Linked DNA regions of Oryctolagus cuniculus. The protein of the gene in region 2 interacts with the protein of the main gene of each other region in a pairwise test. Links are inferred from orthologs where the notes say so. Each region holds a gene or a part of one and is shown on either strand. Other genes may lie near its edges.

Evidence for each region.
Region 1: the proteins of NECAB2 (region 2) and KPNA2 interact in binary tests that used the Homo sapiens proteins (3 or more experiments, as listed by UniProt). The two-hybrid records come from large-scale screens. The link is inferred for Oryctolagus cuniculus from reciprocal best matches to the Homo sapiens genes NECAB2 and KPNA2.
Region 3: the proteins of NECAB2 (region 2) and KLC4 interact in binary tests that used the Homo sapiens proteins (3 or more experiments, as listed by UniProt). The two-hybrid records come from large-scale screens. The link is inferred for Oryctolagus cuniculus from reciprocal best matches to the Homo sapiens genes NECAB2 and KLC4.
Region 4: the proteins of NECAB2 (region 2) and CCDC146 interact in binary tests that used the Homo sapiens proteins (3 or more experiments, as listed by UniProt). The two-hybrid records come from large-scale screens. The link is inferred for Oryctolagus cuniculus from reciprocal best matches to the Homo sapiens genes NECAB2 and CCDC146.

What each region holds. Positions count from the first base shown.
Region 1 is NC_091448.1:13,983,314-13,988,826, reverse strand, and holds the end of KPNA2 (importin subunit alpha-1), read right to left. Parts: coding exon 5,447-5,513; intron 5,228-5,446; coding exon 5,045-5,227; intron 3,803-5,044; coding exon 3,653-3,802; intron 2,150-3,652; coding exon 2,057-2,149; 3' UTR 1,825-2,056; downstream 1-1,824.
Region 2 is NC_091449.1:65,757,758-65,764,202, forward strand, and holds part of NECAB2 (N-terminal EF-hand calcium-binding protein 2), read left to right. Parts: intron 1-523; coding exon 524-632; intron 633-2,003; coding exon 2,004-2,029; intron 2,030-2,160; coding exon 2,161-2,258; intron 2,259-6,265; coding exon 6,266-6,402; intron 6,403-6,445. UniProt on the Homo sapiens protein: May act as a signaling scaffold protein that senses intracellular calcium.
Region 3 is NC_091436.1:126,957,039-126,963,483, forward strand, and holds part of KLC4 (kinesin light chain 4), read right to left. Parts: intron 5,052-6,445; coding exon 4,769-5,051; intron 2,829-4,768; coding exon 2,598-2,828; intron 1,243-2,597; coding exon 1,161-1,242; intron 276-1,160; coding exon 56-275; intron 1-55.
Region 4 is NC_091434.1:141,715,033-141,721,477, reverse strand, and holds part of CCDC146 (coiled-coil domain-containing protein 146), read right to left. Parts: intron 4,484-6,445; coding exon 4,307-4,483; intron 2,555-4,306; coding exon 2,481-2,554; intron 1,650-2,480; coding exon 1,422-1,649; intron 767-1,421; coding exon 580-766; intron 1-579. UniProt on the Homo sapiens protein: Essential for sperm flagellum biogenesis and male fertility.

The DNA.
Region 1 (5,513 bases), on a different chromosome or scaffold from region 2:
AGTTTTACTTTCCCACCTTAAACACGAAAATCAAAGTTGCAGGCAAAGACACGGAATACAAACCCAAGCCTGAAAGCTGCGAGGACGCTGCACATTTAGCTGTTCTATTAAGTCCCTCACGAGACATGGACGCTTCCTAACTTGGCGGCTGCATACCAGTGACTTTTTTTTTTTTTTTTTTTTTTTTGACAGGCAGAGTGGACAGTGAGAAAGAGGGAGACAGAAAGAAAGGTTCACCCTCCAATGGCCGCCGCGGCTGGCGCACCACGCTGATCCGAAGGCAGGAGCCAGGTGCTTATCCTGGTCTCCCATGCGGGTGCAGGGCCCAAGCACTTGGGCCATCCTCCACTGCACTCCCGGGCCACAGCAGAGGGCTGGCCTGGAAGAGGGGCAACCGGGACAGAATCCGGCACCCTGACCGGGACTAGAACCCGGTGTGCCGGTGCCGCAAGGCGGAGGATTAGCTTAGTGAGCCGCGGCGCCAGCCTGACTTTTTAAAAATCCAACTGCTGGGAAGCTCCACTCTCCAAGATGGAAAACCTCACCCACAAGCAAATTAAATATGACATCCAAATGCCTCTAATGGCGTCTGACTCCCCCAAGGAAACCAGCACGTTAAGGATTTTATCTAGAATATGAAAACCCGTATTTTGGACATCAGTTGTCTGTGCACTGCTGCACTTACTGAGCCACGCCTGACACACAGACCCCACACTTGCTACCAACGCGCCTGTTCCGCTGCTGTCCCCCTGCAGCCACTCCAGCGCCTCAGACTTGGGGTGTCGAGGTCTACTTAACAGTACCTTTCTCAAGCCAAGGACTTCTGGATCCAGCATCCAAGCTGGAGAAGGAAAAGGAGCAGAGTGGGAAAGGCAGGGCAGTGTGCAGAGCCCGCTTCCTCCTCCTCTCTCCACTTCAGGGGTCTTCCTCCCAGGACGCCCAAGATGCCCTAAGTACAGGCACGTCAGGAACTCGGCTATGGGAGTTACTTCATGTGTTGGCCATGCGTAAGCAATTGAACAGTTGCATGGAGGAAACTGGAAAACCCTGTTATCTACAAAAGACAAAAACATATTTGATGACTGGGGAGAAGTGGAAGCCTGTTGAATTATATTACCAGTGACTTAGAAACAATGTCTTACAACAAGGCCGGCGCCGCGGCTCACTAGGCTAATCCTCCCGGTTGCCCCTCTTCCAGGCCAGCTCTCTGCTGTGGCCCGGGAGTGCAGTGGAGGATGTCCCAAGTGCTTGGGTCCTGCACCCGCATGGGAGACCAGGAGAAGCACCTGGCTCCTGGCTTCAGATCAGCGCGATGCGCCGGCCGCAGCGGCCATTGCAGGGTGAACCAATGGCAAAAGGAAGACCTTTCTCTGTCTACTCCGCCTGTCAAAAAAAAAAAAAAGTCTTACAACAAATGAACCAGAACTCCTGGGTAACCGTGCCCAGGTGATGCCAATGTAGCACCAGGTCTCACTTGGGAGGAACGATTCCCACTTGTAGCTCCAGGAGGAGCGTGACTAAATTTAAGATTTTTATCCCATCTCCCTGGTCAGTGAAACCTAAAAACACTGGCTGAGGACTTCTGGAAACTTCACTCCTCTTTCTGTGAAACTTCTGATTCCAGCTTTAGCAAACAGATATCAGGTGTTTAAGTACCAAAAGGACAAGCAGCAGCTTAGCACCAAACCAAGAGACTCGGAATCCGGAAGAAAAGTTATCCACACCCCACCTCCTACAGTCAGGACTGGCCCCACTGACTGGTTGCCACGGACCCTTCATCTGCAACATTAGAGCTCCGAATTAGAAAACAACACACACACCAGGTGAAGAAAGGGGTGGAATTTTATCTTTATTTACAGGACACTGTAAGATACGAAATTCCACAGAAGTAAGAAACCCATTCAGAGGACAAGCTTCATACAGTATGTACAGTTTGGAACTGTTCAAGTATAGTTTTGTTGTAAAAGTGCTACAATAACAAACCACATTTAAAAAAAGGTCTTAGTAGAGAAACAGTAAGACAAACAACAAAATGACTGGTGCCTCAGCAGTGCGATCAGAAGTGAAAGGCGCCCGGCGCCCCATCCTGCACTTGGAAGGTGTAGCCTTCAGAGGTGGTCTCTGGCGCAACATTCTGATCTTCCTCTTCCTGAAACATGAAAAAGCAACGTGACCCCATAAATATGGCACATTTCTAAGCAGTAGCATGCCTCAAGTCTCGACCTGCTCATAAAGTTTACAGCTGCACACCCACCTTCAACCCTGAGACCATATTCTTTCTGTCTGACACAGGAGGAGGGAAGGGCCGCTGAAACCCGGACAAGTCAGGAATGCCTGGGAGAAGCAGTTCTGAGTGGGTTAAAGAATGCTACTACAAGCAAAATTGAGATTTTTCTGTTCCACCTGCCACTTGTCAGTAGAAAGAGAGCCAACTACGATCAGAGTTCACCCACTTCTCCAAGAATCCCTACAATGACAACCATAAACTTTAAAGATATTCCGATTCCCAAGATTGTTCATTTGAAAGTAAACTAGTGACTTTTAAAATTTCAGGTTAAATATCATCAACCCAAATATTATATGGGCAAGTCCTAAATATATTTTTTTGACATTTTGCAATACTGAACAAGGGTACAGGGGGTGGGTGTTTGGCCTAGCAGTTAAGATACTAGGAGTTCAGCCGGCGCCGTGGCTCAATAGGCTAATCCTCAGCCTGTGGCACCGGCACCCCGGGTTCTAGTCCCAGTTGGGGCGCCGGATTCTGTCCCGGTTGCTCCTCTTCCAGTCTAGCTCTCTGCTGTGGCCCGGGAGGGCAGTGGAGGATGGCCCAAGTGCTTGGGCCCTGCACCCGCATGGGAGACCAGGAGGAAGCACCTGGCTCCTGGCTTCAGATAGGGGCAGTGCACTGGCCATAGCGGCCATGTGGGGGGTGAACCAACGGAAGGAAGACCTAACTCTGCCTGTCAAAAAAAAAAAAAAAAAAAAAAAAGCTACTAGGAGTTCAAATCCTGGCCCTAACTCCTGATTTTAGCTTCCTGTTAGTATGCACCCTGGGGGAAGGCAGTAATGGCTTGGTATCTCGAGTCTCTGTCACCCACATGGAGACTTTGTTTAAGCTCCTGGCTTCTAGCTTCAGCCTGGCCTAGACTCAGGCATTATGGGCATTTAGGGAATGAACCAGCTTATAGTTCTCTCTCAAAAACATTAAAATTGGGGTCAGTGTTGTGGTGTAGCAGGTAAAGTCGCCTCCTGCAGTGCCAGCAGCCCATATGGGCACTGGTTCGAGTCCCGGCTGCTCCACTTCGATCCAGCTCTCTGCTATGGCCTGGGAAAGCAGTGGAAGATGGCCCAAGTCCTTCGGCCCCTGCACCCACATGGGAGACCTGGAGGAAGCTTCTGGCTCTTGGCTTAGGAGCAGCTCAGCTCTGGCCGTTGTGGCCATCTGCAGAGTGAACCAGCAGATACAAGACCTCTCTCTCTCTCTCTCTCTCTGCCTCTCCTCTCTCTATGTAACTCTTTCAAATAAATAAATCTTTATAAAAAAATTTTTTTAAATGTATGGAACTCACTTAAAGTACAAAGAGAAAAAAAGAACATCTCATAGTTTGCCCATACATGTGTATTTTCCAAGTTGTTATTAACAGTAGCTCACCTCTATAGAGAAGTACTTCTCAATCAAGTTTAATGAAGCCCTATACACGGATTCATTCTCATGGTTTTGAAGAGCTTCAATTTTATCCAAGCCTCCACATTCTTCAATCATTATACTAAGTTTCTCAGTTTCACCTAATTTCTCAGCAGCCTAAAAGAAAAGAAAGGTCCAGTTTACTGGTTTATTCTCTGATGGTTCTATTTTAATGAAAATACACATATCAAAGCTTTCATATATCAGACAGGAATGCACATTAACAGTTTCTTTAACAATCCTAATGATAGTCTTATGTCCACTTTATATTTTTTTTGAAACTCAATGTAGCAGGTACATGAGAGAAGGTGGGAGAACCAGTCACTCATAATTTACAGATGGCGATAGACACCAGCCTTCCTTATTCTGAATCCAGCTTCAACATGTAATAATTTCCAGAACCAGATCTAGAAGTTGGTACCAATCACTACGGCAAAATGCCATGTGCCGGCAGGGTTAAATCATCCTCAGGTCAAACGAGAAAAATATAGCTAATTTCACCAAAATTTAGCATGAAATTGGGGGGTTAAATATACCTGACAAAATAAGTAGTATGAATAGCTTTCACTTCAAGACTTGACTTCAATTAAAGTCGTGTCATTCATTAATCACCTGTTACATGCCTCTTATAATCCCTAGGAAGAGTGTGGTAGAATGGGCATTTAGAGGAGTCAGTGCTGTGGCGCAATAGGCTGAGCCTACACTAGTGGCTACGGATGGAGGGGATGGCAGGTGTGTGCGCCAGTTTGTGTCTGGGCTGCTCCTCTTCCGATCCAGCTCTCTGCTATGGTCTGGGAAAGCAGTGGAAGACGTCCCAAGTCCTTGGGCCTCTGCACCCGCATGGGAGACCAGGAAGAAGCTCCTGGCTCCCAATCAACCCAGCTCCAGCCGTTGTTGCCAACTGGGAAGTGAACCAGCAGACAGAAGACCTCTCTGTCTCTCCCTTTGTTACTCTTGTCTCTCAAATAAATAAAATCTTAAAAAAAAAAAAAAAAAAAAGGGCATTTAGACTGGTAGCTAGGATACCTGCATCCTGCCTCAGAATGCCTGGATTCAGTTCCTAGCTCCACCTCCTGATTCCAGCTTCCAGTTAATGCTGATAGGCAGCAGTGATGGCTCAGGTAATCGGGTACTTGTCTGCCACCCACTTGGCAGACCTGGATTGCACGTCTGGCTCCTGGCAGGGCCCCAGGGGTTGTGCTTATTGGGGAGTGCACCACTGAAGGGAGCCTGGCTTACATAAATGGCCTTGCTGGTTCTGACTACTAATGAGTCATCTAGCTGCCCTCCCTAGTCGACACAGCAAATCAATCACCATGAAGCCCAAATTCAAACAAATGCCACCCTGTTAGGGCTTACCTGGAAGATATTTGAAATGGCATCCAGAATAACCAGAATAATTTTGGTATCCTTTGCGGTCAAGAGGTTCATCAACGGTTCTATTATACCACAGTGAACAAGGTACACAATCTGTTCAACTGTTCCGCCACTTGTATAGTTGGTTACAGCCCATACTGCTTCTTTTTGTGTCTTAAAGTCTGCCTATTAAACAAAAGGAATTGGTTTTAGTTCAGAACAGTCACACAAATGAGATTCCAAAATTTCATTTTACAGAAATAATGATTGAAACAACCAACTGGCTCTATCCAACCTTAAAGGAAAGGGATTACTGGTTATTATTTATCAATGAACTCAATGAATAGTACCCAACCACAAAAATGTTGGCCTGTAAATGCAATCATATGATTAAATCTCTAATACCTTAGAGAGAACACCAACAAGGAACGGGACCAATCCGTGATTCACAACTTGCTGTATCTGGTCCTGA
Region 2 (6,445 bases):
CAGCCCGGAGCACCAGCAAGTGGCAGGACAGGAGGAGGGGACACAAGGAGAGGGGACAGGGACAGGAGGCAGGCCCTGTCCCCTCTGCCTCCCCTGCCCCATTCCCAGGACCGCAGCCTCCAGCCGGGGTTGATGGACAGGCAGGACGAGCATCTCGGCACGCGGCCGTGTGGGGCGAGGGGCTTCATCGGACCCCCGGTCGGACCCCCCTGCTGTGGCGCCGTGACCTTGGGCTGGGTCAAGCAGCTTGTGCTTGGGGGTGAACTGAGTGACGGCTGAGCGCCGGGTAGGGCCGACACCGGGACAGGGTCCATGAGCCGGCGATGCTGCCCTGTGTCGGCCTTCGTGGGGGTCGGCACTGCTGGATGAGTGGGAGACACCGTGTGAACTGGGGTTTACCGTTAATTGCTGGCGGGGTGGGGGACGGCAGGGGCCCGCCTGCTAGCTGGGCCTGGGGTCCCGGGGTCCCGGGGTCCCGGGGACCGCCCCCGCTGCCCCTCACGGCCGCGCCCGCTCCCTGCAGATGACGGGAAGCTGTCCCTGGAGGAGTTCCAGCTCTTCTTTGCCGACGGCGTGCTGGACGAGCGGGAGCTGGAGTCGCTGTTTCACACCATCGACTCCGACAGCACCAAGTGAGCGAGGCCGGGGCCCCAGGTGGATCAGCACCGCGCACACCTGTGTGGCTGTGGCTGCGCGGCTAGCGCCCCTGCAGACCCCCGCCACCACTGCCTGCGACACGGAGCCTCCCTAACGCTGCCCCCGTTTTAAACCAAGCTCCGCTTAGGACTTGCTCAGCCCGCCCCACAGCGCCCACACCTGTGCCTCATTAGCCTCTCCCAGCCCATCTCGCCCTGACCTGCATCTCCACACCCACCACGGGCCCCAGCCTGGCTCAAGTTCAAGTGCATCCCCACCCCCGACAGCCTATGCCCCCTCCACCCCACTCTGTGGAGGGGCAGAGTCCTTGCCTGGTCCCCCTCCTCAGGCCCGCTCGGATGGTGGGCACCAGAGTTCCTGGGGGCTGCCTGGGGCAGGTCTGATCATCTGGGGTCCCTTGCTAGACAGGAGGGAACGAGCAGCCGCCACCAAGCCACGTGCAAGGGGCCGAAGGCAGTGCTGGCCTGGGCCGGACTGGGAAGGGGCAGGTGGAGTGGGATCCTCGCCTATGGATGGACACTAAAGAAGAGGCTCTGAGGGTCCCTGTGGCTGTGTGGGGGCTGGCAGGTGCAGGCGCTGCCCCCTGATGGGTTCCTCCTCACTTGCTGGCTTTTATGGGGGGCAGCGGGAGGTGCTGCCTGCAACGGCGAGCCTGGCCAGGGCCACAGCTGGCCTCACCGCACACAAGGGCCAGGCCAAGACCTTGGCGTTGTTGGCTCTGGCGTCCGGCCAAGTGTGAGCCGAGGACATCAGCTGCCTGGGGTGCTGAACTGCGCGGCCGCCTCCTGCAGAACTCGGAGCTCCCAGTCTGCGGCCCGCACAGCCCCGCGTCCAGCCCCGCGCCCTGGCCCCGGGGTTCTGCTTAGCACACTCGGGTGGGCCGGCCCCTGCGCTCTCGGGCACATGGTGGGGAGGTTGCCGGAGCCTGTACCACCACTCTGTCCCCAGTTCCTGGCCCGGTGCACCTCTGATGCCGCTGTGTGCACCTGTGCCGCCAGCCTCCTCTACGCTGTCGGGAGGGGGGCCCAGGGGCTAGGGGTGAGGAGCAGGGCTGAGCTGGGTTCTCCAGGAGCTGTGTGGACGGCCTGGACAGCCAGGGCCCGCCCTAGCCCTGCCTTTGGAGCCCACTGTTCCCCAGGAGGTCGGAAGCCTTTGGAAGGGAAATTGGGGCAGTGGGTACTGGCCACGCCTACTTGGACAGAGCCACCTCGGGGTGCGGGCACTGGGGGTGCACGGGAAGACAAAGGGCGGCAGGAAGCCTTTAGCAAGCTGCACAGGGTCCCCCCCCCCCACCAGCTGTGGAGGGGTGGGGCCACCACACTCACACCCCTCTCCTCTCTCTGCAGCCACGTGGACACCAAGGAGCTGTGTGGTAGGTGCCTGGCTCTGTGCCTACAGGGGTGGGACGGGGTGCAGGCAGTGAGGGGCAGAGGCGGGACTGGGGGGCCGCGGGCGAGGGGCAGAACCCCCCCATGACCCCCGACCTCGGCTTCCCGCCCCCAGATTACTTCGTGGAGCACATGGGGGACTACGAGGACGTCCTGGCCTCGCTGGAGACCTTGAACCACTCGGTGCTGAAGGCCATGGGCTACACCAAGAAGGTCAGCGGGGTCCGAGGCCCGGGGCTGGGATGAGCCGACGGAGCCCAGCAGCCCGGGCGTGGTCCTGCCTGTGAGGGTCCGGTTGGAAGCGCAAGGTTCCCGCCCAGGTGCAGCCTGGCCTGGAGGGCGAGGGGGTCCCCCGACAGGTGCTAGCCCCAACCGCCCGTGGTGACCCCGTGACCTGTGGGCCCACATCTGCTGGGGCAGGAAGGCACGGCAGGCCCTGGAGGCGGCCCCGGGCAGGCGGCAGGCGGCAGGCAGGAGGGCCTGGGCAGCAGGGACCTGTGTCCTGCAGCCCCTGTGGAGGCGCAGGCACGGCTGCCCCCCGCCCAGCACCTCCCGGGGAGCAGAGTGGCAGTCCTGCAGGGAGCTCCTCACCGGCCCTCCGTGCGCTGCAGCCCGAGCCGCTGGCTGGGGACAGAGGAGAAACTGAGGCAGGGCCCACGGGTGCAGCCCCCGGGCAGCGCGGGCCCCTCCGGAAGGGCCAGCCCCTGCTGTGGAGGCCACGGGGCCGCAGTGGAGGAGTCGGCCGCCTCTGGCCCACGCACACCCCGGGCTGTGGGACAGGGGCACAGACCCGAGCTCTGCTGAGCGCGGCGTGGCCTCCCCCGCGTGCGGGATCCACGCTCACAGGCCTCAGCGCGCACGTAAAACCCACTCCAGAAAGGTCCGCGGCGCAGCGCTAGAACGTGGCGTGCGCCCGTGGCTAGGCACCATCCGTGTGCGTCAGGTGAGGGTGTCACGTGAGGCTACATGGCTGGGCGTGGCCTGGAGCGCTGTGCGCGAGGCTGCGCCGTGGGCTCCGGGGCTGCCGTTGCCGGCCGCCCACTGTCGGCGGGCACGTGAGGTCCGGCGGCTGCTGCCCAGCTGCAGCGCGAGGGCCGCGGGTCCCCGTCTCGGCCTCCCCGCACCGTGGTGGGGCCGCGGTTCTGCCTCCGGCCCAGCGTGCCGCTGCTCGGGCCTGGCCCGCGCTCCGGGCCTCGGTAGAGGGTGGGCTCCCAGCCCCATCTGCGTCCCCCGACGTGGGTGCAGGGGCCGGGCCCTTGCCGTCCTCCGCTGCTCTCCCAGGGGCCTTAGCAGGGAGCGGATGGGAAGTGGGGCAGCCGGGACTTCAGAGCGTCGGTACAGACGGTGGGGCTGTAGTGGGGGTGAGGGCGTGGGTGTAGGCAGGGTGCTATAGTGGAGGTGAGGGTGGGTGTAGGCAGGAAGATGTAGTGAGGACGTGGGTGTGCAGTGGGGCTGTAGTGGAGGTGAGGGCGTGGGTGTAGGCAGGGGGCTGTAGTGGAGGTGAGGGTGGGTGGGTAGTGGGGCTGTAGTGGGGGTGAGGGTGGGTGGGCAGTGGGGCTGTAGTGGAGGTGAAGGTGGGTGGGCAGTGGGGCTGTAGTGGAGGTGAGGGTGGGTGTAGGCAGGGGCTGTAGTGAGGACGTGGGTGGGCAGTGGGGCTGTAGTGGGGGTGAGGGTGTGGGTGTAGGCAGGGGCTGTAGTGGAGGCGGGTGTACACACAGCCGCCCTCCACGTGGCCGTGCACGGGTGTTCTGCCCGAGAAGTGCGAAGCCTGCCGTGGCGTGAGGATGAGTTTGTCGTCCGCGTTGCCCGTGCCGTGGTCGTCCTCGGAGCCACGCGCCGTGGAAACCCGGCCATCTCTGCCTGTTTCTCGCGTGAACCCTGCCTACAAGCGCCCTTTGCCCATGCCTGTTCCCCGCTGTCACTTGGCGTCTGCGTGTCTGTTCGTGGAAAGCGGCCGCCCTGCTTACCCCACGGCGTCGTGTTCTGTCGCTGACCTTGGTCTGCCTTGAACTTCTCCCCTCTCTGAGCTGCGTTGCAGCCAGGAGCACAATGCGTCGTGGCAGGGACCCCCCCCTCCGTCCCCCATAATGCCCCACTGCCTCCCGGGTGCACATTAGCAGGAGGCTGGAACCTGGGGGCCAGCTAGCCTAGAACCCAGGCCTGCAGCACGGGGTGCCGCTGTTCCTAGTGGTGCCCTCCGCACGCTGGTTCTTGGGGTTGCACACAGGTTTGGGGCATTAGAAGGCTGAAGGGGGGAATGGTTAAGCAGCACTTTGTTGTGAAGGTTACAGGGGGTGGGGGGAGACAGAGAGCGGTCTTCCATCTGCAGGTTCACCCCAGGTGGCCACACGGCCGGCGCTGGGCTGGGCTGGGCTGGGCTGGGCTGGGCTGAAACCGGGAGCTGGTACTCCATCCGGGTCTCACTCGTGGGTACCACAGACCCAGGCCTGGGGCCGTCACGTGCTGTCCGCTAGGCTGCATCATAGGACACTGGACGGACAGCGGGCATTCACACGGGATGTGGGGGGCGCAGGGCACGGCCAATGCACAGCGGTGCGCTCGCGGGTGTTACTGGGTAACTCCTGCCCCGCAGCCCCCGTGCCTGGTGCTGTCACCGCTGCTCCCTGCCCGCACCTGCCGATTCAGGAGCGTTTCTGCCGTTCAGGCCTGGAGCGCCTAGGAGCAGTCCCGTGCCTCCGGGGCCTCGATCGCCGTGTCCCCTGTGGCCTGCGCGGCCGGGACTTGTCCCGTGGATGCCCAGGTGTTTGTTAAAACATTCACAAGCGAAGTGACAGACGGGGAGTCAGCGCTCCTGCAGGCAGTGGCTCACTGCCCAGTGGCTGCAGCTGGGGCTGCACGAGGCGGGAGCCGGGAGCTCTGCACTCGGAGCGTCTCCTGCTGTGCCAGGCGTGTCGGCAGGGAGCGGAACCGGAAGCGGCGTGGCTGGGACTGGAACCCGTGCGCTTAGGGGATCCGGTGTGCACCGGGCCCAGGACACGGTTCCTGGCGCTGTCCCTTGCTGGGGCCTGCAGCGCTGGCCTCGTGGCCGAGGCACCGACCGGACAGAGGAGGAATCCATCCAGGGTTCACTTGGCTGCCCTGGCCACGCCCGCACCTGAGCACCACTCTGCTGGGAGGTTTCTGGAAGGCTCTCCTCGGTGTGTGGGTTGACCCTCCCCCTTATTTCTTTCCTGAAGCTGTGCTGATCAAGCTGCACTGAGGGCTTCGAAAGGCGGAGGCAGGGAGCGGACAGGGCGCTCCGTCTGCTGGGTCCCTTCCCAGATGGCGCAGTGACCAGGGCCGCGCCAGGCTGAAGCCAGCAGCTGCCTCCAGGTCTCCCACACGGGTGCAGGCGCCCACACACGTGGGTCTGGCGCTGCTTTCCCAGGCCGTAGCAAGGAGCTGCGCTGGGAGTGGAGCAGCTGGGTGCGGCTTTACCTCTGCGCCACAGCGCCGGCCCCACGTAGGGCTTTGTTTCGGGGTGACAGCAACTCGTCTGGTCGTGGCTGGAACCATGTATGAGAAGGGCCTGGGGCCCAGCACGGAGCACCCGGCCACCAGGACTCATGGCTTCTGGCCCCAGCCTTGTTCTGCCAGGAGGGTCTGCGTCCACCAGCCCCGGTCAGGCTCAAGCCGGCGCCTGCCCCTCCCCCACCTCTGCCGTCCTCCGTGGTGCGGCTGCTGCTGGTTAACCCCCAGTCTCGGCGATGGTTGCTTGAATGTGCTTTCCCCAAGCTCTGTTCTCCCGGCTCTGTGGGGACCAGGCGGCATCCAAGGTGTGGGGACCAGTTCCTGGGAAGCTGGGGATGGCGGCACAGGCGCCGAGGCACTGGGGAACTGGGCCTTGTGGTTGTCGCCTGTGCCGCCTCTTTGGAGGAGGAAGGAGAACCGGGGCCGTGAGTTCTGGCCCATCACGGTGCCCACAGGCAGCGGTGTGGTCGCCACCGCCGTCACCATGGTCGTCTGTCGGGGCAGCTGCTGCTGGTGGGGACCTGCTTATAGGGGGCCGGCGCCTTACTCACTGTCCCGTGCACACTTGGTCACTTAGTCCTGGCCATGCGCCCGGGGCCTCCTGTGCTCTCCGAGGCCCCGGCTCCCACCTCGCTCTCCGATGCAGGAGGCGGTGGGGTCCCCACCGCTGCCCAGCCCGGTGCCCCGGCTCCTGGGCCGGAACCTGCGTCCCCGCTCCCCTGCCCAGTGCGCCTCTCCTGCCTCCACAGGTGTACGAGGGCGGGAGCAGCGTGGACCAGTTCGTGACCCGCTTCCTGCTGAAGGAGACGGCCAGCCAGATCCAGTCGCTGCTGAGCTCGGTGGAGAGCGCCGTGGACGCCATCGAGGAGCAGACCAGCCGGATCCGGTGCGGGGCGGGCGGGTGCGGCTGGGGTGCTGGCGCCACCCCT
Region 3 (6,445 bases), on a different chromosome or scaffold from region 2:
AGGCATGGGTGCCAAAGAGGGAGAGGAGTCTGGGGGGCGGGGGGGCGGTGCTCACCGATACACCAAGGCGAGGATGTTGAGCATGGTGGCGACATCAGGGTGGCCACGGCCAGATGTGCGCTCCAGGTCCTCCAGCGCCTGCTTGCAGAGCGGCACAGCCACCTCATAGCGACCCTGGGCTGCGTACTGAATCACCAGGTTGTGTAGCGTCCGCAACCTTGCTGGGATCTCATATCCACCCTGCTGGGCGGCTGCAGCGCCTTGGCCACGCGACACTGAGCCAGCCCGGAAAACGAACAGCAGATTTCCTGGAGGACTCTTCCTCTCCCACCCCAGACCTCCCCTCTATGTCTTGTTCCATACCTGCACCTGCCCCTACCAGACTCTCTCTACTGACACCAGAGCCTCCACTGCTATTCTGTTACCTGCTCCCTGGAACCTGTGCCCACTACAGTTCTATTTGTTCCCAGTGATGCATTCACTCAATAAGACTGAGCGGGGCCAGTGTTGTGACATAAAGGGTTAAGCCACCACTTATGACCCTGGCATCCCACATGAGTGCCAATTTGAGTCCCAGCTGCTCCACTTCTGATCCAGCTCCTGAGAAAGTGGCAGAATATAGCCCAAATACTTGGGAGATCCAGATAGATGTCCAGGCTCTTGGCTTTGACCTGGCCTAGCCTTGACAGTTGCAGTCATTTGGGGAGTGAACTAGCAGATGGAAAATTCCCCTCTCTCTCTCCCTCCCTCCCTACCTCTCTCTCTCATAGCCTTTCAAATAAATAAAAAAATCTTAAAAAAAATAATAAGCCTGAGCCAGGGGCTATCCCAGGAACACAAAGATAAGAAAGAGCTGGTTCCTTCCCCTGAAGAACTCATGCTCTTCCCATCTCAGGTTCATTCCCCCATAGACCGTGAACACATCACCAGTGAGACCTGTGTTATTTTCATCTTGCTATTCCTAGTGCTCGGCACATATCGCTTAATAAACATTGATGATAAGGAGGAGGCTGAGAAAATTAAAGGACTAGCCCAGCCCTGCCCCCTCTCCAGAGAGAGGGGAGAACCTGTTTCTGGATGGTGACATCCTGAGCACAGGGCTGGGCCCAGAGCAGCCTCTTGCTGCCCCTCGTTCCCCTCCAGCTCTGAGGCAGACTCACAGCCGTTGCTAGGGTCCTCCTCCTCTTCGTTGGGGAAGAGGTCATCCAGAGAATCCTTGGTGGCATCCCCTTGTTTTTCCTCCTGGAAGGGAAGCAGTAGCATGTGAGGGCCAAGATAGCGCCGGTGTGAGGGCCCCTCTAAGCCACAAAGTCACTGAGAGGGGCCTCTGCCCTGGGAAGGCCAGCATCCGGCCCAGCCACACTCAGGCCTCTTTTGTTGGCAAAAGCCAGAGATGCTTGGCACAAATTCCCACGACTTCCCCTTCCTTCACATCCAGAAAGTTCCCTTCCTTACTACCTCCACTCCCCAGCCTCCCTCTCTCCTGCTCCACTCTTGTAATTATAGCCCTGTGCTGATGCCTGGTGTTTACTCTGATTATATGTCTGTTCTGTCTCTCCTGAGGCCGGACAGTGTCTCTGACCTTACTGACACATGCCCAAGGTGTCTCGCTCAGCCTCACACCCATCATCTGCCACTGCCTGCTTCGGACATAGTGAGCACCCCTCACTGTCCAACCTACTTCCACACTGGGAGAATCTGCTTTTCCCATCAGGAACGGCAGCTTTAAGCAGCGACCTCCAGCCCTTTCCCCTGCCCCCTGCCCTCTGCCCCCTGTACCAGTGTGTCCCATGCAAAGCGTCTCCTGACTCTCTCAGGGGTAGACCAGTAGTGCAGCCCTGGAGCCTTAGCTTGACTCCCCTGTCTCTCTTCCTTGTCATCCTTCAAGAATCATCCCAAACCCTTGTCAAATGAGAAATTCAACCTAAAGCATACCCATCTCTGTCCCCGGCCCCCTCTGGGAATCCTTTAATCATTCCGGCCTCAGGGGCCTACCTCCTATGAATTCCTCTTGCACTTACTGAGCCATACTCACCCAGCACGGAACATCTGCTGCCATGTGTTGTCACACCTGCGTTCTCAAGCGTGAGCCCTGTCCCCTACAGACACATTATAAACTCAAGAAGGCAGAGTGTCTCTTCTACGGGTCTTTATAGCTCCCTACACACATCTTGCACTGCCTGAGGCACAGCGATACATGAATGCCCGTTGAGTGAGAGTGAAATTTCACACGTTTCCACAGCAAATGTTAAGAGGGTCTTGTGCAACTGGGTTTCCCTACCTGTAGCACTTAGTGTTCTGCACTGGAATTGTCCAGGAGCTTGTCTGTTTCCCCTCACGAGTCCATGACTGTGACAGCAGCAAGTGTGTCTGCCTGTTCACTAGGGGAACGCATAGTGCCTGACACAGTAAGCATTTCACCAAACGTTCATTGAATGAACAGAGAGTTTTCCCCGCAGCCATCACCTGAAAAAGCAATCCTGCCAGGTGGGGTAGGTTGGGGAGCTGCTAGGCCCTGAGGATGGGGGGACAACGGCCCCACTGGTGGTGTCTCCCAGCTGCCCATCCCCCGGCCAGCCCCACCTGCGAGTGCTCACCGCAGCGTGCCCGTCCTCGTCATACTGCCGCAGCTGCCCCAGGAACTCCAGGTGCTTCTTTTCCTCCTCCAGCTGAGCCACGGCCTGCTCACTGCGCTGCAGTCGCTGCTGGGTGCCCGCCAGCTCGTCCCGCAGCCACTGGTTCTCCTGGCACAGCCGCCGTACCTGAGCCCGCAGCTTCTGTTTCTCTGACTCCACTGTGCTCAAGTGGTTGGCGAGAGCCAGCATCACCTAGGTGGGCACATCCTGTGAGCTCCAGACTCCAGAAGGGAGCCTATAGGCAGGAGGGGAGCCTACTGGGAAGCAGCAAGACTGGCAGGAACACAGAGGAGCCCAGAGGCAGGAATTTTGGCTAGCAATGATGCTATCTTCAAAATACACCCTGAATCTCACCACTGCCATTGCCATTTCGCAAGGCCAAGCCACCACTAATTCCCACCTGGATGACCACAGCAGCCTCCTCACTGGCCTCCCTGTTTCTGCCCTTGCTCCCCCGGAGCCTATTCTCAGTCTAGCAGCCAGATGATGTCAAATTAGATCACATCATTCTTTTCAAAACATTCTGACGGGGGCTGCGTTGTGTGGTGCAGTGGCTGCAATGTGGTATTCCATGTCAGAGTGCTGGTATGAGTCCCAGCTGCTCCACTTCTGATCCAGCTCCCTGCTAATGTGCCTGGGAAAGCAGTGGAGTATAGCCCAAGTGCTTGGGCTCCTGCCTACCACATGAAGTTCCTGGTCCCTGGCTTCAGCCTGGCCCAGCGCCAGCTGATGCAGCCATTTGGTGACAGAACCAGTAGATGGAAGATATCTCCTCCACCCCACCCCCACCCTGTCACTTTGCCTTTCAAAGAAATAAATAATTTTTATTTGAAAGGCAGAGTTACAGAGAGAGGAAAAGAGATCTTCTATCTGATGATTCACTCTCCAAATGGGTACAACGGCTGGGGCTGTGACAGGCAGAAGTCAGGAGCCAGGATCTTCTTCCACATCTCCCTCATTGGCTCAGGGGCCCAAGTACTTGGGTCATCATCTGCTGCTTACCCAGACAGGAAGTGGAGCAGCCAGGTCTTGAATCAGCACAATCTCAAACCAGCACTCATATGGGACACCCAGCCTTGCAGGTGGTAGCTTGACCCGTAACACCACAATGCCAGCCCCAATAAATAAATCTTTAAAAAAAAAATCAAAACATTCCAATAGAGGTAGATGCTTGGCCTGATGTTTAAGATGCTGGTTTGGACACCCGTGTCCCACATGGAAGTGCCTGGATTTGGTCCCCAGCTCTGGCTCCTGACTCCAGCTTCCTGCTGGTGCAGACACTTGGAGGCAGTGGTGACAGCTCATGTCGTTGGGTTCCTGCCACCCACATGAGAGACCTGGTGGCTCCTGACTTCAATCCTGAACCAGTCCTGTCTGTTGCAAGCATTGGGGCTGTGTGTCAGCAGGTGGGGGATCTTTCTTTCTGTCTCCTTCCTCTCTCAAAAAAAAAAAAAAAAAACCTAAAGAAACAAAACATCCCAGTAGCTTCCATATCACTAACATAAAATAAAAGCAGTCAATTGCACATGATCTCTCTGCTTCTCCCCAACTCCATAGTCCATTAGACTTTTCTTCTTTGCTTTCCTTCACTGAGTGCACTACAGCCACACTGCTCTTTGCTGTTCAATGAACTCAGCAGGCAGGCTCAAGTTCAAGTTCAGGGCCTCTGCACTGGCTGTTCTGTTTAGGAGGCTGATCTCTTATTGATTGGATGATTCATTCCATCACCTTTTTAAATCTTTGCTCCGATATCACCGTTACAGTGAGGCCCTGTTGGATCAGCATTATCTAAAACTGTACCCTCTCCCCACACTCCCTAGTCCCCCTCCCTGACTCATTTCTATCTTTAGCAAGTATTGCTCGGCACACTGCATCATTTACTCATTTGTTGTGCATTGCCTGTCCTGTCCCCACCCCTACTCCCCAACACCTAGAATGCAAACACCAACGTGGCAAAGATTTTGTGACGTATCTCCTCTGCTCAAAGGAGTTCTGGCCCATACCAAGGGCTTCAAACATATTTACTGAATTAATGTATGCATGCATCTAAGACAAGGTGATCCCAAGTGACCCAAACATCCAACCAGACAGCTGCTCCGCCACCCGCTCTGACTCATTCAGCACCAGCTCACCTGGGCCTCGCTCAGCCCCAACTCTATGTTTTCCATGGATCGGCGCAGCTGCCGGGCCTTCTCATGCACCAGCCCCTCCTCATGGCCTCCCTGCTGCAGACACTCGATGGTGTGGGATAGGCTTTGCAACACAGCCTGGTGTTCACTGTGCAGGGCCTCCAGTCCTTGGCTCACGAGCCGAGTGCTTCCCAGGATCTCCTCTTGGCTGAGTCGGTGCCCTGCAGGTTCATCCCGCTGCCCCAACACCAGACCTGACATCCTGGCCAGGGGAACCTCGCCTGGGCTAGACAGAAACAAGAATTCAGCTGTGGTAAACACAAGACAGAGAAGCTGAGGACCTTGGTAATAGGGATCCAAGTGAAGGGACAGGAGTATGGGTGATCCTGTGACTTAGCTGGAGGAAAACTGCTACACTTAACAGAAAGCTAAGATTCCAGGCAGAGATGGAGAGGGGAACAGGCATTTGGCACAGAGTTAGGATGCTACATGGGATGAGTGCCTGGGGGTTTGAGTCCTGGATCTGCTTCTGATATTTATTTGAAAGGCAGAGTTACCGGGGGGGGGGGGGAGGGAGAAAGGGAGAGAGAGAACTCTTCATCTGCTGGTTTACTCCCCAAATGGATATAACAGCTAGGGCTGAGGCTAGGCTAGGCCAAAGCCAAGAGCCTGGAACTTCATCCAAGTCTGCCACATGGGTGGCAGGGACCCAAAGACATGGGGCATCTTCTGCTACTTTCCCAGGCACATTAACAGGAACCTGGGACTCAAACCAGTGCTTACTGCTGCCCTACAACACTGGCCCCGTCTATCTTTTTCTCTCTCTCTGCCTTTCAAATAAATAAACTTTTTAAAAAAAAAATTTTTTTTAATTTTTTACGGGCAGAGTGGACAGTGAGACAGAGAAAGGTCTTCCTTTTCCATCGGTTCACCCCACAATGGCCACTGCGGCTGGCGCACCGCGCTGATCTGAAGCCAGGAGCCATGTGCTTCTCCTGGTCTCCCATGCGGGTGCAGGGCCCAAGCACCTGGGCCATCCTCCACTGCACTCGTGCTTCTCCTGGTCTCCCATGCGGGTGCAGGGCCCAAGCACCTGGGCCATCCTCCACTGCACTCCCGGGCCACAGCAGAGAGCTGGGCAGGAAGAGGAGCAACCGGGACAGAATCCAGCGCCCCGACCGGGACTAGAACCCAGTGTGCCGGCGCCGTAGGTGGAGGATTAGCCTAGTGAGCATGGCGCTGGCCTCAAATAAATAAACTTTTAAAAAGTCTTTAAAAAAGCTTAAATATGTTGTTTTTAAAAAAGAGAGAGAAGAGTTGAAATGAAGCCAGACTGTAGAGGGAACAAAGGTGCCTGGAACTATCAAGGATTAAGACTTACGAACAGAACAGAAAAGACGTTGGAGAGAGCTTAGGTTAGGAAAAGAAATGAAGAGAAGAGAGACTACATTAGAGTACTCAAAGAAGGGCCAGCATCATAATATAGCCAGTTAAGCTGCCTGCAATGCTGCATCTCATGGTGCTGGCTGGAGTTTCAAGTCTTGGCTGTTCTACTTCTGATCCAGCTCCCTGCTAATGCACCTGGGAAAGCACTAAAAGATGGCCCAAGTGCTTGGGCCCCTGCACCCACATGGGAGACCCAAGTGGAGCTACAAATTCCAGGCTCCTGCCTTCAGCCTG
Region 4 (6,445 bases), on a different chromosome or scaffold from region 2:
GCCTGTATTGGTTCTAGTTGCTCTCAGCTAGCTGGGTCACCTGCCCATCTATGCTTAGTTTATTTGATCTGGTCCTTAACTGCTAGACTCTGCCATGACATCATGCTGCATTTGATTGTTTTTGCTTGAAAAGACAGTGCTCCATTTGGCCCTACCCCGTAACAAACCCTCTGGCTCTTCCTGAATTGGAAGGTCCGGTTATTTTCCTTGGCCAGGCTGTTACCTGACCCAGACAAGGCATTTCACTAATCTTGGGCTAGGAAAAAGAGATTGAAAAACATTATAGGGCTCTAGACTCTACCAGCAGTCTTCAAAAAGTTCATGAAAAAATGTGTCCTATGAAAAACCTGCATGGATTTCAAACAATTCCTTGTACCAAAATAAACTTATTTTTTAATCCCATTTTCCAAGCGCTTTGGCAGTGCCCTCATTTAATAGGTTTGGTGCATTTGAAAATTACCTTTTCTCTGATAACTTTCCTTCCTTTTCTCCTGGCAGGAAAAACAGCTTCTCAAAACATTTTCATGTCAAATGATGGCAGTGAACTTAAAAGTCAAGACAGTGGTCTATAGCACCCACCTCTAATAGTAGCCTTTGGTGTGTTGCTTGAGTCTGAGCAAATGTATCCCAGGACACTTTCAACTGCAGCTCCAGCTTCTTCAAATGTCGAAAATCTCGCTCTTTCTCTCTTTGCTTACGAGACAGTTCGTCATGGTAGTTATGCTTGTCGATGAGGCTATTCCGCAAATTGAGATCCAAGATCCCTCTGTTCCAGGTAAGTGCAGAAAAGGAAAGTGAATTGCCATTGCATGGCCCGCATGGCCTTCGAAACTGAACGTGATAGCATTCTCAGCATGTACACACGGAAATATCCTCATGTTGGAACCATACGTTGTCAATCATGCCCACCACCACTAGGTTTTGGAGTTGGTACCATTTAGGGCAACAACCTTACAAACAGAAAGGCAACCAGAATAGCAAAATGGCAGAGACAGATGCCCCCAATTCCTCTGAAATTGTACCTCACGTAGGAAGAAAACTCGCCCAGAGGATTGCACCATAGAATTGCTCCCATTAGGAATAAGTGAAGATAACCTCAGAAATACCATTCACTTGTTGGTAAACATCCCTGAATTACACAACACTCTCCAGGGATAGACTATCCCAGAGGCACATTTTAGAAACTTACAACATAAAACAGATTTTTCCCCCTTAACATTTGATCACAGAATTGAAGAAAATGATGAGTCGAGAAGGGGGAAATACTTCAAATGTTTTCTTTGATAATTTTTCATTAGGGTAAAAATCAATTTAAAATCCTATAAAATGTTCATTGAGTCGACAGAATACTGAGATTATTTTCTGAATCCTCAAACACAAACTGAAGTCTCAGATGTCAGGTGCACATAACGACCACTGACCTCTCACTTAGTGACGTGGCTTCATTCTCTCTGGCCAGTTCCAGCATCTTGGCCAACTGGTTGTATTCTCGTTCCCGGATTTCAAGTAAGGCTCGTTTGCCTTCTACTTCCTTCATTACATCCTCCTTCTCTTCCACTACAGCGCTAATTTTGGTTTCAACTTTCTTTATGGAGTCATTTAGCTCTTTGACTTCGCATTCCAAGACAAGTTTTTTCTTTTCTGTTTCTCTGTAGAAGACAGACAGGCACACATAAACACACATGTGCATGGACACACACACACACACACACACACACACACACACACAATTTACCTTATTCTGAGCCCATGCTGCCTGAAACTGTTAACTTCCCAACCAGGCGGCAGAAGAGTTGGTTATAAATTCAGTGACTAGAAGTGGGTGGAGGCCACAGAGGAATGGGGCATGGAGGGTATCATCCTTAGACAGCTGCAGAGGAAAAGCAGCCCATCTTCCTCTCCTGTCAACCAACTGCTCTCACCTCTGGGAATCTACTCCCTTCCTCACTAGCTTCTCACAAGGGACCTAAATTTCTCATCTTTGGTGCCAGTGAGCTTGGATTTTAGAACTATTAGTGCCTGCTGCATTTTTCCCTCTTCTCTCTAAATTGTTTCTTCAACAATTAGTTCCTCTAAACTTTGAGAATCTCCCCCATGACCTCTGTCTCAGGCGTCAGATACAGAAATACGTGGCAAAGAAAAGAGTTACTATCACTGGGGCTTTAAGCAGCTGCTTGATTGACTTGCTTCCAAGACCATGAACTTCAAAACTGTTCACCTAATTTGTCCCCAGCTCTGTGAAAGTCAATTGGATTTCTCCATAAAGATATGATTTATGAGTTAGGAATAGAATTTGAATCCATAATTAAAACAGAAATATGTATGAATGATAATAATTTGCTGCACTTCTTTCTTTTAAAGAACTTGACATATATGACCTAGACAGGGCCCAGAGCAGACATTCCTAAAGTTACCATAGTAATGTGATATGTCTAGTGAGTAGGCAAGGAGGGGCTGAAAGTGAAAATATTGATTCATACACTTTTTTCCGTGTTGTTTTTTCTATCTCTTTCACAATTTGTACAGGAATAGTTTGATGGTGCGCCACTTCATCCTAGTAAAGAAATAGAGAGCCATGTTAAATTCAGTCTTGGAACAGAGCAAGGAAGACAAGATAATTAAACAGGAAAGAGAGAAGAACTAAAATATGTAGAATTATTTTTAAAAAGATTTATATTTATTTATTTGAATGGCAGAGTTAGAGAGTTAGAGAGAGAGAGAGAGAGAGGAGAGAGAGAGGAGAGAGAGGAGAGAGACAGAGACAGATTGATCTTCTAGCTTCTGGTTCAACCCACAAATGACCACAATAGCCAGAGCTGGGCCAGTCTGAAGCCAGGAGCCAGGAGCTTCCTCCAGGTCTCCCATGTGGGTGCAGGGTCATCCTCCACTGCTTTCCCAGGCAGGGAGCTGCATTGGAAGCAGCTCTGTTTGTGATGCTGGTGCTGTAGGCTGTGGTTTAACGTGCTGTGCCATAGTACTGTCCCTACTATGTAGACTTCTTATGGGTATCTGCCCTAATACTGGTAAGAATGATTTCATTCAATACTCAGATGACCTTCTAAGATAGGTATATCTGCTGCCATTTTCAGGTACATGTAACCAGGCATAAAAATACCACATGGGTTCTAGAAGGTCTCGCTGGGGTTGGGCTGGGGACACGCATATGCTGGAGGCTGGGCACCTGGCTGCAGTGTGCTGGAGTGGGACGTGGTTCTGTCCTAGTCCATGTCCAAGGTCTGTGAGGCTGGAACTTGTAAAGTTTGGGGAATCTTCTTTAAGAAAAAGAGCAAGATATTACAGATGGAAAATTAGGTTCAGGGTCCCAGACAAGGCTCCTACAATGGAGAGGCTGAAGCTTCACTGGACATCTGGTATACCTATCTCTGGTCTGTTCCTATAGCTGGGCACAGCTTGGCCAACTGCATTGATACTCTCAAGGAAAGAGGTCAAAGGGTGTCATAACAATCCCCTAAACCAATGAATCTAGCTATGTTTCTTTAAAAAGAACACTATAAATTATTTAAATGTTTTGAGAATTATTATACACTTTCTAAAATAAAATGAATTTGTAATTTATTATCTCCTAAAACATAAGCACAGGCCTATCATCCCTTTTACGGTGAGAAGTATTAGAATAGAATCAAAGAGAAGGCAGCACAAATAGACACAAGAGGTTAGGACAGCTGATTGCTCTTGGTAGAATAATCATGAAGCAGCAGGTTAAGCCTCTCCTTGGGATGCCTGCATCCCAGATGTGAGTGCTGATTCAAATCTCAGCTCTTCTACTTCCAATTCAGCTTCCTGCTAATGCACCCAGGAGGGCAGAGGTTCTTGGATAAAGTACTTGGGACCCTACCACCCGTGTGGAAAACCCAGATGGTGTCTCAGGCTCCTGGCTTTGGCCTGGTCCAGCCCTGGCTGTTGCAGACTGAACTTGCAGATTAAAGAGCTTGCTCTGTCTCTTCCTTCCTCCCGCCCTGTCACTCTGCTTTTCAAATAAATAGATACGCCCCTCCCCTTTTTGATAAAAGCAAGTGTGTCTGTGACAATCACTGCTAATACTGAAAAATGCTTGGTACGGGCTAGAGAGGCCTCTCTTCCAGGGTCGGCGTGTCAGAATTAGAGTGATACTACCTTTAAGTCTTTTGCAAGCTTGCAGAGAGTGATAGGTTCAGCCATAATGCAGATCCTCGCAGTTTGTGTGACAATATCCCTTAGTCAGACCTACATAGCTCGTCTTGATCCCATCACGCTGACTCTCAGGCAGGCACCATGTATAAGCATCTATGAACTGCAAGCAGCATACCTTCAGGACAACCTGATACTCCAGCAATTCCTCCAGCTCCTTCTGCTCCTTCAGTAACTGCTTTTGCTTAGATGCCAAATCTTCCCGTAAATTTTTAATCTCCAACTTCTTCTGCATTATTTCCTTACGTAATTCCTCGGTGCTCTCTTTCAATATTCTCATCTTCTTCTCCATTTCCTTTAAAAGGACAGTGATTGGGTGACTAGTCTTAGCAAGCATTTATCTACCTAAAAACTGGATAGGAAATCATTTCACCATTTTGATTATGTTTGTCTTGGTGTTTGAATGATTCTCACCATGTTATTACCACTTGGGGAGATCCAAGATGGCAGAATAGGGAGGGAGCTTACTGCTCTAGGCTAGGGGAAGTTAGTTTGAAAAAGGGGAGAGTTCAGTCTCAGCGAAGAGTTAGGGAGAAAATGGCAGGGGAAATTCCATGTAAGTCAGAGGGACACTGTGGATGTATGTGGAGGGTGTGGATGCACACAACTCAGGACCCAGCAGCCAAGAGCCTCAGCATCAGTTTTGGAGAGTAAGGTGAAACCAGACTGCAGCAGTTCATGATCTAGCAATTAAGCTGTGGGAAGAGTCTGGCACGAGCCCAGCTTGGAGCCCTGTAGGGGACAGTGTACCTGCCAGCCTAGATGAGAAAAAAAGGAAGCACATTTCTCTCCACCCAATCACCCCTGCACCAGCCTTTGGTAACATGCTGAGGGCGGGAGCTATTTTGGACATATGTAACAGCTGCACCAGCTCTTGTCTGTGCACCCAGCAACCAGCCAAGTGGAGGTGCCCAAGATTGGCTGGAATTGACAGGAAGCTGGGTGCTTGTGTCCATGGGAGGCTTGTGTGCTGGGACTTTGAAAACATTATGGCTAAATGGTGGGGGGAGCAGGGTGTGGCTGGGACTTTGGGCAGTCACTGTGGGCAACTCCACACACTTGGGGATCCCTGATTCCCTGGCGGGGGGATTGCTGCAGGATTCATGCTTACACTGAGGCCCGTACAGATCCTTTGTGTGGTTCTTGTGGTAGCATGGATGAATATTGTACCCACTGGGGCTAGTGCCCAGTGCCCAGGCACTGGTCTTTTTTGAGGAGAGGAGGTGGGCATGAGACTATGCCAACAGAGCAGAAAAATCATCCCTTATGATAAAAAAAAAGGATTTACCAAGCTCAACCTGGTGTCACCTTGGACACTCCCTTTACCCTGGAGCACTAAACAGACATCACTGGCTACATGCAGAACATGCCTCTGGGTATTCATTAAAAATGTGTACATTCCACTAAGCCACAGAGGCATGGTTCAAAGATAAAAGCCATCATAGGGAATAAAGAAACAAAAGAGAAACCAACAAGTTTATCCACAAATGCCTAATAATAAATGCAACAATTTAAGAAACAAGGATAAGGAAGACAACATGACACCCCCAGAAGAATATAATACTTCAATAGCATAATGTGAAGATGAAGACACTGAAGAAATGTCAGAAATATAATTCAAAAAATTGATCCCAGGATTACTTCGAAGTAATCAGAAGCAAATACATAAACTGATGAAATCCATACATGACATGAAAGAAAATTTCTCCCATGAAATTGAGATCTTAAAGAGAAATCAGGGACTGGTGCTGCAGTATAGTGGGTAAAGTCACTGCCTGCAGTGCTGGCGTCTCATATGGGCACTGGTTCAGGTCCCAGATGCTCCACTTCCAATCCAGCTATTTGCAATGGTCCGGGAAATCAGTGGAAGATGGCCTAAGTCCTTGGGCTCCTGAACCCGTGTGGGAGACCTGGAAGAAGCTCCTGGCTCCTGGCTTCAGATTGGCACAGCTCCGACCATTGCGGCCAATTGGGGAGTAAACCAGTGGATGGAAGACCTCTCTCTCTCTCTCTCTCTCTCTCTCTCTCTCTCTCTCCCTTTCCTCTCTCTCTGTGTAACTCAAACTTTCAAATAAATAAATAAATCTTTAAACCAAAAAAAAGAGAAGTCAAAAAGAAATATTGGAAATGAACAATTCAATAGAACAAATAGAAAATATGGTGGAAAGCCTTAACAATGGAATTGGTGAAGCAGAAGAAAGAATATCAAGTTAGAAGACAATTCTCTGGAAATTTTCAGTCAGACAAAAAAAAAAAA